2 linked regions of the Arabidopsis thaliana genome follow. The protein of the gene in region 1 purifies or fractionates together with the protein of each later gene. This does not show direct contact. Each region holds a gene or a part of one and is shown in the gene's direction. Other genes may lie near its edges. The genes, in order: PIP and NUDT3.

Region 1 (5,074 bases):
GAGAAGATGTTGGAGGTTTGCGATGAGAAAGAGATTGGCCGGAAGAATTATCAGCCATCAACATCGAGATTGTGAGATAATCGGAAGACCTGTAATTGTGAAGGTAACTCTTTCTCATCTGCAAATCTCAACTGTCGTTTTATTAGATATCAATTCAAACAAAACCATGTTAACCGGTTAAGCAATTGATGGTTTAGTTTGAAAAGGATATAATTATCATTTTATCATCCAGAAACAAGAGAAAATGTCTCATCCCTGAAAAGTGCCTAAAAAAAAAAGAGAATATTACGTGATTAGACACTTTTTTAAAAGTTAGTTCATAATTATGCACTTTAAATAGAGAAAGCACTTTAAATGGAGAAGGCACTTTAAATAAATTATTTTATTTATTTACTCTTTAACTACATTTTTTCAATCGGCTATCTCTTCTCTCTCCTTTTCCCATCTCTTCTTTTTTTTTTCTTTTTTTTTTTCTCACTTTATCGAAGAAAAAAACCTTTCCCAGAATATCTTCAATTCCAAATCTGCAATTAATCTCCAAATCCACTCTACGCGATGGCTTTCTCTTCTCTCTTGACTAATTGGAGAATACGAGGTCTTGGTTTCTTTAAGATTGTGATTTATTTTGCAATTTAAATATTTGTTTTGACATAAATTTGAGATTTAGTTATCTAAGAAACTTCTTCTTCTTCAACAATGGCGACTTGAATTGATTTCTGCTCTCTCTCATGTGTCAAACTCGTTTCACCTATGTAGCATCGAGATTCCGGTTAATCAAATTTCCTGTTATTATGGACATGGTATACATAATGGATATAGATCAGTAAAAAGGTTTCCGAATGGATATATTTAAATGGACTCGTTATTATGGACACCAAAAAATTGTTTGTTGATTTTTCTTTCGGTTTGTAGAGACCTCTACCTTCAAAACCTTATGGACATGGAACTTTAGTTTCTTTACAAAACACGGTTAATCAAATCTCCTGTTATTATTGATAGGGTATATAGAATGAATATAGATCAGTAGAAAGGTTTCTGAATGGATATATTTAAATGGACTCGTTATTATGGACACCAAAAAATTGTTTGTTGATTTTTCTTTCAGTTTGAAGAGACCTCCACTTCCAAGATCTTATGGACATGGAACTTTGGTTTCTTTACAAAAGCACGGTTAATCGAATCTTCTGTTATTATGGACTTGGTATATAGAATGAATATTAATTAGTAAAAGTTTTCTGAATGGATATATTTAAATGAACTCGTTATTATGGACACAAAAAAATTGTTTGTTGATTTTTCTTACAGTTTGTAGAGACCTCCACCTCCAAGACCTTATGGACATAAAACTTTTACCAAATTCCTGAGATAATCGAGATCGAATTGTTTAAGAAACTTCTCTCAAAAGTTATGGAGACGTGGAGAAAGAGAGGCGCTACAAATCATGAAGAGAGAGAGAGAGAGAGGGAGAGAGAGAGAGATTTTATTTATTTTGGGTAAGGATCGTGGAAGAGGAATAACAAGAAAGAGAAATTGAGAATTAAAAACATAAATATTGAATTGAGAGTAAAAAAATCTAAGAAAAAAAAAATAGTAGAAAAAATGTTTATTTCCTATAAAGTGCCTTAAATCGAAAAATATTTTTTAAAAATGCCTAATATTAGAACATTTCCAAAAAAATAAGATTTTCTAAAAATGCCTAAACGTGTCAAATTATCTTGAAAATACGTTGAAACAGTGGTGGAAAAATCTCGACCCGATTGGTATCAATTAAGGATCCGACGCGTGTCTCTTTTATTACTGAGAAATTGCTGAAACGGGTCAAATACTATGAACTTGATCCTTGCATCGTTCTCTTTGGCCCCTTGCTTCTGTGTTCGATTCTTTCCTTCAAACCATAACAATCTCAATCTCTTATTCCCAGGTCTCTCTCTATCTCTCTCTCTCTGCTACAAGCTTATAAGTATTTTGTGGTCACATGTCACTAATCATTCTCATGATCCTTAATCTTAGCTCCTAGGGTTTCTGTGAATTAGTCTAATTTTACAATTTTATGCCTTTGAGGATATATCTTAATGTGAAAGTTTTAAACTTGTAACTCAAAAACCATTTGTTAGTTAGTAATCATCATCATTCTGAATTGAGCTTTGTTTGAATTTGAGTAGGGCAACGAAAGATTCAAGTTAGTTGCGGTGGTAAGAGTGAGGTGTTGAAGAGTGATACAATGGAACCTCATGAAGCAGAAACGTTTGTGAACAAGAGAACCCTTTATGCTCCCATTGAGCCATATAGCAGTGGAAATTTAAAGGTTTCAGATGTTCACACTCTCTACTGGGAGCAATCAGGCAAACCCGATGGACACGTATGTAAAACCATCATTGTTATTGAATCAACCATCATGTGTTCAAGTTTCTAACTTTTCCATTGTATGATGGGAATTAACATATTGCAGCCGGTTGTTTTTCTTCACGGCGGGCCGGGAGGAGGGACGGCTCCTAGTAATAGGAGATTCTTCGATCCGGAGTTTTATCGGATTGTTCTGTTTGATCAGGTCGGTTTGTGAATTTTGTGGACACTTTGAATACATTGATCCAGCTTGTATATTCATCTTTAAGTTTTTATTGTCTTGTTTTCTTCTAGAGAGGTGCGGGGAAGAGTACACCGCATGCTTGTTTGGAGGAAAACACCACATGGGACCTTGTGAATGATATTGAAAAACTAAGAGAACATTTGAAAATACCTGAATGGCTGGTGAGAGATTTTCTTCCAGAGATATGGTTCTTGATGTTGTTGAGATGGTTTAAGAGCCAGAACCTCTGTTTTTGTCAGGTTTTTGGAGGATCATGGGGAAGCACTCTAGCTCTTGCATACAGTCAGTCTCACCCTGACAAGGTGCAAATCTTGATGTTTACATTCTTACATCTGAGAATAATAATGGTTGTTTAGGGATTGATTGAATGGAATATGATCTAATAAGTAGTTTTCTTACCTATAATTTCACATCTTTTAACTTTTTTGGTGCAAGGTTACTGGTTTGGTCCTTAGAGGGATCTTTTTGTTGCGTAAAAAGGAGATTGACTGGTTTTACGAGGGCGGTGCTGCTGCTATTTACCCTGATGGTAATTCTCTTTCTTGTATCCCTGTGTTGGAGTTTTGTGTGCAGTAGGTTCCATATTCTCTTCTTCTTAAGTGTTTGTTTCTTTGTTTAAAAGCTTGGGAGGAGTTCAGAGATCTTATTCCAGAAAACGAGAGAGGTAGTAGCCTTGTGGACGCGTATCACAAAAGATTGAATTCTGATGATCTGGAAATTCAAGTATGTTGAGATCTAATCACTATTACACGAGAAAAGGCATTGACCATCGTTCTTTTTCGGCATTTACAGCAATTGAACTCTCATCTTTTAGCTTTTATAGCCGAAAGAATTTGGACTAATAAATGTCTACCGTAGTAATTATTGCATTCTTATGATCTTGTAGTACGCAGCTGCAAGAGCTTGGACTAAATGGGAAATGATGACTGCTTATCTTCGTCCAAATCTTGAAAACGTTCAAAAGGCAGAGGATGATAAATTTTCATTGGTTAGTTTTATCTGGATTCGTTGACCTGTTACTATATAAAGCTCATACATTATCTTTATACTGATTTCTTAACGACCATTTGGCTTTGTGCTGCAGGCGTTTGCAAGGATTGAAAATCACTACTTTGTTAACAAAGGTTTCTTCCCGTCGGACTCACACTTGCTAGACAATGTTGATAAAATACGACATATCAAGACCACCATTGTTCAGGTACATCCTTAATATAAGAACTGGAATTGTGAATTGATTGATCTAATGAGGCCGAGTTGTGTAGACGATAGGTTATAGAAATGGAAACACATGCAACAAGAAAAAAACATCGGCCTTAGGTTTCTCACGTTGTAAACACAACATTGATTTGGCTATATACATTACATTTATATATTATGGGATTGAGATTGGGTCTGGATTATTAAAATGGACAGGGAAGGTATGACGTATGCTGTCCTATGATGTCTGCTTGGGATCTGCACAAAGCATGGCCAGAGGCAGAACTCAAGGTAAGTTTAAAATCTTTTCCAAGATTTCTTCAAGATCTTTCCTAAGTTTAGTTTTGCTTATTGTCGTAATGCGACCAACGGTCTGCAGATTGTTTATGATGCTGGGCACTCGGCAAATGAGCCAGGAATATCAGCGGAACTCGTGGTTGCCAATGAAAAGATGAAAGCACTTATGGGATGAAGTATTTGATGGAATGAAAGCTGCTCATTTTGTTCATTTCTTTGGGACCTTTGTTCATATTTTCAAGTTTGTTGCTGCAAAGTAAATATCACATTCAGAGTTAGTTGTTAACGCGAAACCGAATGTTATTTCCATGGACGTTTATACCCAAATGAAAAAGACAATGACATAGGTGCAGTGTTTTGAAACCCGGACTATAAGCACCAATGTAACCAATGAATGGGACTCTAACGAATACCTTAGAACCATGGCCTTTTTGAACCGTTTAAATGCAGAAATCCCCAACAAAAACCAGCGGTAAAAACATATGAGTCAAATAAAAATCCTTTTATCAAGAGGATTGGAGACTATGGGTGTTGAGTAGCATAATGGTGAAACTGGTAAGTGATAAAGGAAAAGATTTACAGAGTGCAAGAGGTGTGTCAAGTAAAGGAGAAGAAACTTGAACCTTACTTTGCAATATATGAATCGAAGAGGAGATATATATATACACAGTATACTAAATCAGAGGGTTTATGCATGTAACAATGCGATGAGGAGATGTAAATTCAGAGAATTGAAGACGGGACAACCTCGTCGTCCCTGGTGTAGCCATGAACCAAAAAATCGGTGCAGTTTCTTCGCAAGCCGTGGTTATAAGGGTTGTAGAATCTTCCGTCAGGTCCCCGCAAATAACTGAATCTCTTCGCGTTCCATAATTCGTTGGTTGTAATATTCCGAGCTATCTGCACCAGACAACCAACAATAACTGTTATACAATCATTTGCAGAGGGGAGGGAGAACCAAATTTTTACTTTAGCTGAGACTTCCTTACCATA
Region 2 (7,615 bases), on another chromosome or scaffold:
TAGTTTTTTTAGAAATTTGTGAAATAGACACTTTTTTTACTTTTTTTGTGAAATAGAGGTTATGTGTAATAAGCTAAAAGACAAAAAATATGTCAAATACCATTTTACCTTTTACTTTATATGAAAAAATATGGGTCAAACTTTTTATATTATTTAACTATTTAGAACTATTTTTATTATATTATAGTTATTTTTTTTTTCATATTCATCTTTTTGAATTTTATAAAAATAAATTATTTTTAAAAAATAATTTCTTCTTCCAAAAACAAGATGATTTATATGTTTTTAATTATAATTCTCGTACACCAGCATTAAAACATAGTTTTGTACACTAACACTTATACACCAAATCATTTTATACATATCTTCTAAAATATTTCTATTTATCTCATATTTATAAAATAAAATAATAATTGTTCATAAATTAATAAAAATATAATGGTGTACACCATCATGTATACTATTAAATTAACCATAATGGTGTATACCATTAAATGAAAGTAATGATTATACATTTTTACTTATGTACACTAACATTTGTACACTTTTATGTACACTAATCTCATATTATTATTATTTAAACTTTGTTTTGTATATTATCACTTGACAAAAATGGTTTTATCTTTTGAATATGAGGTGTACACAATAGGTGAAGGTGTACGATATTATATACGGTGTACAAGGTGATTTATGGTTTGATTTATTATCTCATTATTGCATGTATACTATTAATATCATGTACACCATATTTTACATTTTCGTACACCATCTTATTATGTAGTTATACATCATTGTATATTATCGTTTGTACATCACTTTGTACACTGTCTATACCGTATACCACTTCTTAGATCATTAAGAAACAAAAGTTATTTTTGACTTTATTTGACTATATGACAAAACAACAGAAGGCTATAAAGGTCATTCACTAAAATCTCTATTAGATAGAAAATTGTATTAGAAAGGAAAGAGAAAAGTGTCTATTCTCCCTATTTCTAAAAAAACTACTTACTTTGCAAATTATTTGTGAAAAAAGTGTCTAGTTTCCAACTTATCTCTATTGTTTTCTGCTACAATATTTAATAAATCGTACTTTCTCCTATACCTAAATCAACACGGCCTTTATTTGTTAGAGTATCTCCATGGGATAGATACCCTTGCTAGTTTCTCAACAAAAGAAAAAATTATTATTTTAATTATATAATATATTTTGTTTCAATTATAATACTTAAACTAATATTTGATTGACATGCCGCGATTTAGGCTGAGAATCGTTTCTCCTTGATTCTCAAGTGAGAAACTCTTCTTCCACTCTCTCTTACTTTTTTACTTTTGGGTTATTATTTTATTATTAAGTTTCTCATTCAGAAATGATGAAGATGGCCTTACGTTTACATTTTAAAACAAAGAAGCATGTAGTACTTTTGAATATTGTTTCTCACCATTATTGTACTTGTGGAAAACACAAAAGTAGTTGTTGTTACTTTCATCACTCTATGAGCAATAAAAATGCAGTCCTCGATGAAAATGTGGCTAAGAAATGTTAGGGAAATGATCCAAAAACCTTTTTGACTAACTCGTTTTGACCTGTCATTACTATTATTACATAGTTATCTCATTTTTGGTCTCTATTGCAAGAATCATGAAATCTTCTTATAAGAGACTTTGGTATTACCCACAAAACAACTTAATAATTTTACCTTTTGATATTATATAATCCACACAACTAACATGAACTAACTGCTGACATAATCGTCTTAACATTAAAAAAAAATGAAATGAATGCATGCATTGCATATAAATGTACAAATGTTGGCTTGATCTCTTGACCCCTACCTAAGACGTAAGAAGGTATTTTAGAGCTGTGAAATGTGTCAAGCTGAGTCTCGGAGTGAAAAGGGTCCGGTTTAGTGAAGCCAAGTAAGCAAAGCCCCTTGTTTTTGACGGACATTATATCTCCTCCTCTTCTCTTCTATAAATTGGGCACCTTTTTCCAATTTTACGCACAGTCACGGAGATAGATAGTAAGAGAGAGCTATGGCGGAGGAGCACTTCGACGTTCTGACTAAATCCGGTGAGAAGACCGGTGTGTCCAAACCCAGGCATGTTTATTGTTCATGTGTTTTCCCTTTTCTTGTTTGATGAAAAGTACTCGGAAATCGAATTCGTACGCTGAGATGTTTGCACATTGAAATTTTACGTCTTTGTTGGAAAAAGTCATCCTTTTCTTAGGTTTGGGGTTTGATTTGATGCTTCGTTGACCCTATCAACTACACAACAAACTCGACCAAAGAGTTTTAGGTCAATCGGAGAAATTTCAATTCGATTTTGGTTTTAAAAAAAGTTTAAGCTGAAAAATTTGGGATTTTTTTCTTCATGATCAGCTCTTCTTTGGAGTTGTTTTTCCAGTGAATTAACCTCAATTCGTCTCTGTTTGGAACCATGTCATTGTAGGGGAGAGGTTCACAGAGATGGAGATTACCATCGTGCTGTTCATGTCTGGATTTTTGTGGAGACTACTCAACAGCTACTTCTCCAACTTCGATCTGATGATAAAGATTCTTGGCCTGGTCAATGGGACATCTCTAGTGCTGGCCATATATCAGCTGGTGATACATCGCTTCTATCTGCACAGTAAGTCAATCCCATTCTGCTTTCGTTACTTCTTCTTTCCGTTTACTAAAGATTTCAGGATACTTTCTGTAGGCGGGAGCTTGAGGAAGAGCTTGGCGTAAAACTCCCAAAGGATGCATTTGAAAAGATCTTCGTTTTTCTGCAGGAATGGTTTGTCTCTTGGCCTATATGATACATGTTCTCTGATTCTTTCAAGAGACATTATTTGTAGCTTAGTTTGATTGGTATATCTTGAAGCTAACTTGCTTTCGCTTATTTAAATAAGCATTGTAATTTATTACTCTCAACTTGAGAGGTATTCTTAAAGACAGTGTGCTGCTTTTCTTTTGTGTACTTTGACAGTGTCACAAACGATGGCAAATTCATAAATAATGAGTTCAATGATGTGTATCTTGTTACTATTCTGCATCCAATCCCATTAGAAGCCTTTACTCTTCAAGTGAGTTTTTTTCCTTCACGAAGCTGTAAGTTTAAGTAGTATAAATCACTTGGATTCTTAAGTAACATTTTTTTATGTATGTATTAGAAAGAGGAAGTCTCTGCTGTAAAGTACGTACCTTACGAAGAATACAGAAACTTTCTGTCTAAGGAAGATCCTGCTTATGTGCCATATGATGTTAATGGAGAGTATGGAAAACTATTTGACATAATCAGACAGAGGTACAGTATCTCTATTTCGGTTTTTCTCCTAGCTATTCCTTTTTTTTTCTTGTTCATATCTAATATCTTCCATGGTACCAAATGAAAACTTTTATGAGTCAACTATTGCTGAGGTACATATTTTATATAGATATGTTTTCTTACATAGAGTGTTTCTTCTGAATTTGTTGAAGGTGCCAAGTGAACACTGAGGCCCGTAGTTTATCTCTGCAGAAGCAACTCCAGAGATATTCTCCAGTCACCCTCGAAGCCAAGGTATTAATTTGTTACATCTTTTCTTGTGATTTCTTTGTTTCATATGCACCAAATAAATCTTATTTTGCACCGTTCCATAAAAGACATTTTGAGACACCTTTCATTTATATGCAGTTGACAGAACTTTCTGAAGCAGATCAGAAAGCGTTGGGTCTAATTGTGAAGGCTGCAAAAATTATGGACGATATATTCTATGAGCAGGTTCTGTGGAGTCCGAAATTTCTTCTTTTTTTGACCGTGAACATGAAATCTCAGATCTTAAACTAAATTAGAAAGTTATCCTTTATCAGGTTTGGAACAGCAATCCAGCCCTAAGAGATTGGCTGAAGGATCATGCCAATGCATCAAAACTGGACAAACTAAAATGGGATTACTTCACGATCAACAAAAGTCCATGGTGATTATCATCAAAGTTACTTTGTTCTAACATTTATGTTCTACGGAAAGGGTTAGGATTCATCAACGGAGCTGTTGCAGAATTTAATTAAAGTTGCAAAAGATTTTTGTCTTGAATATAATTCGTTAACATATTGGTGTGTCAATCTCATGACGATTAGGAGAGATGATCCAAGAGATTGACGTTCGTATTTTATTTGCAGGTCGTCTCTTGATGAAAATGAAGCATTCTTGAGTACTGCGGATTCAGCTGTAAAGTTGCTTCCTGGAGCAACAAAAGCCATAGCTGGCTGGAAGGGTCTTGAATATAGAGCAGCCTTTCCAGTGACTAAACCACCTGGTGCCAATTTCTATCCTCCCGATATGGATAAAATGGTATTCACACATGTTTGATGTGTCTTTACCAATTCCTTTTCTGTTCCCATTACTCGTAGTAAGAAATGTGTATCTAAAATTATAGGAGTTCACCTTATGGCTCAATGGCCTTACGGAAGAGCAAAAGCATGCTGCAACAGGATTTTTCAGTGTTATAAAAAGGCGAAGTGAAGCTAATTTAGATGCTTCTGATCATCTTGCCAGCAGCACAAAGAAGTTACCAGACTCTAATTCCGATCTGTATAGTATTCCTTATTCAGAGATATATCGACCTTTCCTCAAGAAAGCTTCTGAATTCTTGCAGAAAGCTGGGGACTTGGTCAGTTCGCCAAGGTATATATTTCAAACAGTTTCTTACCCTTACCATATAAAATGTATTCACCCATTCGATTGGCTTAGTATATTGAAGTATTCACCCACAATGCTTTCTCATAGTTTGAAGAAGCTACTGCACAGCAAAGCTGAAGCCTTCCTTTCAAATGAGTATTATGAGTCAGACATCGCATGGATGGACTTGGTAACTCTTCTCTGTTCATACATGGTCTTCTAGTCTTCTGTAATTTTCCTTCCTTATAAAAGAGGATAGCTCTTGTAAGACGAGCTCTGGCTATTTTAATGGTCCGTAATTTTCTGTCACATATCAGTCATGCATTATAGTTTTGAGTAACTTTTGCTTTGTCTTATCATCTTTTGTAGGATTCAAAGTTAGATATTACCATTGGTCCATATGAGACGTACGAGGATGAAATCTTTGGGTATAAGGTAAGACTTTACATAAGCATGTGCTTTCGCAATGATTTGCTTATGCTGATGCTCATCCTCGTCTTCACATAACCTTCATAAATTGCAACTCCCTTTAACCATTACTCTCTAATCTGTATTTGTTTTCCGTCTAAGGCTACATTTGAAACCTTCATCGGTATTCGAGATGATAAAGCCACAGCTGATCTGAAACTCTTTGGTGACAATCTAAAGGTACTGCTCTCTTCGTAGCTGCTGTCAATCAAAGTTGCATTTCTTTACGTTTTCAATTTTCTTTTCTCTAAGATCATTTTTCATTTTCTACTTTCCGGTAGCTATTGGAAGATAATCTCCCGCTTGAGAGTGTATACAAATCGACAGATGTATCTGCTGCTCCTATTCGGGTCATCCAGTTAATTTACAATTCCGGGGTAAGTTCCCCTCGGCATCCATCTGAGATAGGAAAAGGAAGAAAATGTATTGCCGTTATTCATGGTTCACTTGTTTCTTGATTGTGACAGGATGTGAAGGGTCCTCAGACTGTTGCTTACAATTTGCCAAACGATGAAAAAATCGTGAAGGATAGAGGAACATCAATGGTTATGCTCAAGAACGTCCAAGAGGCAAAGTAATGTCCCTTCTTCCTCCATATTTCATCAATAAACGGTGTCATAATTACATCTAACTAATGCTTTTTTCTTTTCTAGGTTTGAACATATTTTAAAGCCTATAGCTGAAATCACCATCAGCAAGGAACAGAGAGGATTAGTTGATTTTGATTCTTTCTTCACTCACACCATTTGCCATGAATGTTGCCATGGCATTGGTCCCCATACCATAACCCTTCCTGGTGGTCAAACCTCAACAGTGAGAAAGGTTATACTGCTTATTGGAAGAATGCAGACATCTAATTAAGGATTGTTTGCGCTGTGACTAGTAATTTACCTTTGTTTTCTCGGTATTTCCTTTGATCTAGGAACTACAAGAAGTCCATTCTGCAATGGAAGAAGCAAAGGCAGATATAGTTGGTCTTTGGGCACTGAAGTTTCTCATCACTAAGGTTAATGATCATATTTGCTAGTTATTGAAACTTTGTTCATATAAGTCTAATTTTCAGACAATGTAAATCAACAGGGGTTGCTTTCAAAGAGTATGGTGGAGAGTATGTATGTTTCGTTCCTAGCTGGTTGCTTTAGATCGATCCGGTTTGGTCTCACAGAAGCTCATGGGTAATGAATGATCTAGAGAATTATATAATCCGCACTCCTATATGTATAGTTCCTGACATTATTGTCTATTTTGGCCTCAGGAAAGGGCAAGCCTTGCAATTCAACTATTTATATGAAAAAGGAGCCTTCGTGTTCCACGAGGACTCTACATTCTCGGTTGATTTCGCTAAGGTATCAGTCCAAGTTTACATGAAAAACTTTCTGATTAGTCATATATCGAAACACCTCCTGAATCTTGTTATTCCGGCATGTAAAGATCGAAGGTGCAGTTGAGAGCCTGAGCCATGAGATACTAACTATTCAAGGAAAAGGTGACAAAAACGCAGCAACATTGCTTCTAAATAAGTACTGCACTATCACCGGACCATTGAAAACCGCTCTGGAGAATCTCGAACGCGTTAAGGTACAGTTTCTTTACAGGATAACAAGACCTAAATTGAGTTGAGAATTGAGATATCCATGCAGATAGAATGATCTGCGTTCATGGTTTTGTTTGTGTGTTTAGGTACCGGTGGATATATCTCCGACATTTCCATTAGCAGAAGCATTGATGAACTGAGGAAAGTTTCAGTTTCAGCAAGACTCTGGTTTTAACTTTTAATAAATAAATAAAACTCAGATGATCCATCATCATAAACCAAATTTGGGATTTAAAAGAGTTATCTGAATGGTGTTGTGTTCTTATCATAATAAAGTTGCTACCTTTACATCTTTATTCCATAGAAGAAATTTTTGAGAGCTTTAAGATAGAATGTTATCATCATCACTAAGAAATAATATTTGATGTATTGTGTAGATAATCAAAACAAAACTTGTAGAAAATACGATTAAGGTCCATAATCAAACTCGTTATAGAAGCCAGGATTTATATAAGAATTGAAACAATCGAATATTACGTCTTCCTCAGTCGCTAACTTGCCGGAATCTTGACACCCAAAATACGTCTGGATATCGTCGGGGAAGCTCCGGCGAGTTGGAATCACTTCCGGCGATGTAGATGGTTCGATTACTTCCTCTGATTTCGGAGATTTGTTATCATCCGACGATTCGGGCTCGCGACTAGGGCTTCGAATGGGCTTAGAATCGGAATCGGCTTTATCCGCGGCGGCGTTAGGGTTTAGATAACGGCTGACGTCGAAATTGGTAACGGCGTTAAGTCCACGGTACTCTATTGCCGCGATGTCGTAGGCGATTGCTGCTTCTTCTTGCGTGGCTGCACGTGCACAGGGTTTAAAATGTTACAAACAAAAAAACTTTGGTACTATACCATATTTTCATAGAACTTTCATCCCATTTGTATAAATATGGATTTTTCTTTTTTTCCT

What was found.
Region 2: the proteins of PIP (region 1) and NUDT3 fractionate together in Arabidopsis thaliana (co-fractionation; one large-scale study listed by BioGRID). This does not show direct contact.

The regions. Positions count from the first base shown.
Region 1 is NC_003071.7:6,040,623-6,045,696, reverse strand, and holds PIP (proline iminopeptidase), read left to right. Parts: upstream 1-1,722; 5' UTR 1,723-1,827; coding exon 1,828-1,921; exon of another isoform or gene 1,922-2,162; coding exon 2,163-2,359; intron 2,360-2,449; coding exon 2,450-2,548; intron 2,549-2,637; coding exon 2,638-2,748; intron 2,749-2,826; coding exon 2,827-2,889; intron 2,890-3,022; coding exon 3,023-3,116; intron 3,117-3,209; coding exon 3,210-3,310; intron 3,311-3,473; coding exon 3,474-3,575; intron 3,576-3,671; coding exon 3,672-3,785; intron 3,786-3,849; coding exon of another isoform or gene 3,850-4,000; coding exon 4,001-4,075; intron 4,076-4,163; coding exon 4,164-4,256; 3' UTR 4,257-4,551; downstream 4,552-5,074. Other genes in the region: AT2G14270 (Cytochrome C oxidase polypeptide VIB family protein), read right to left, coding at 1-118; AT2G14265 (uncharacterized protein), read left to right, coding at 556-615, 668-769, 913-969, 1,113-1,170, 1,306-1,364; AT2G14255 (Ankyrin repeat family protein with DHHC zinc finger domain-containing protein), read right to left, coding at 4,805-4,981, 5,071-5,074. UniProt on the Arabidopsis thaliana protein: Specifically catalyzes the removal of N-terminal proline residues from peptides.
Region 2 is NC_003070.9:29,983,323-29,990,937, forward strand, and holds NUDT3 (nudix hydrolase homolog 3), read left to right. Parts: upstream 1-1,723; 5' UTR 1,724-2,037; coding exon 2,038-2,102; intron 2,103-2,454; coding exon 2,455-2,634; intron 2,635-2,706; coding exon 2,707-2,784; intron 2,785-2,976; coding exon 2,977-3,073; intron 3,074-3,160; coding exon 3,161-3,294; intron 3,295-3,467; coding exon 3,468-3,549; intron 3,550-3,663; coding exon 3,664-3,750; intron 3,751-3,839; coding exon 3,840-3,946; intron 3,947-4,148; coding exon 4,149-4,320; intron 4,321-4,405; coding exon 4,406-4,653; intron 4,654-4,755; coding exon 4,756-4,837; intron 4,838-5,016; coding exon 5,017-5,082; intron 5,083-5,217; coding exon 5,218-5,295; intron 5,296-5,396; coding exon 5,397-5,492; intron 5,493-5,582; coding exon 5,583-5,689; intron 5,690-5,768; coding exon 5,769-5,937; intron 5,938-6,037; coding exon 6,038-6,121; intron 6,122-6,195; coding exon 6,196-6,290; intron 6,291-6,370; coding exon 6,371-6,461; intron 6,462-6,546; and 5 more. Other genes in the region: WRI4 (Integrase-type DNA-binding superfamily protein), read right to left, coding at 7,118-7,503. UniProt on the Arabidopsis thaliana protein: Probably mediates the hydrolysis of some nucleoside diphosphate derivatives.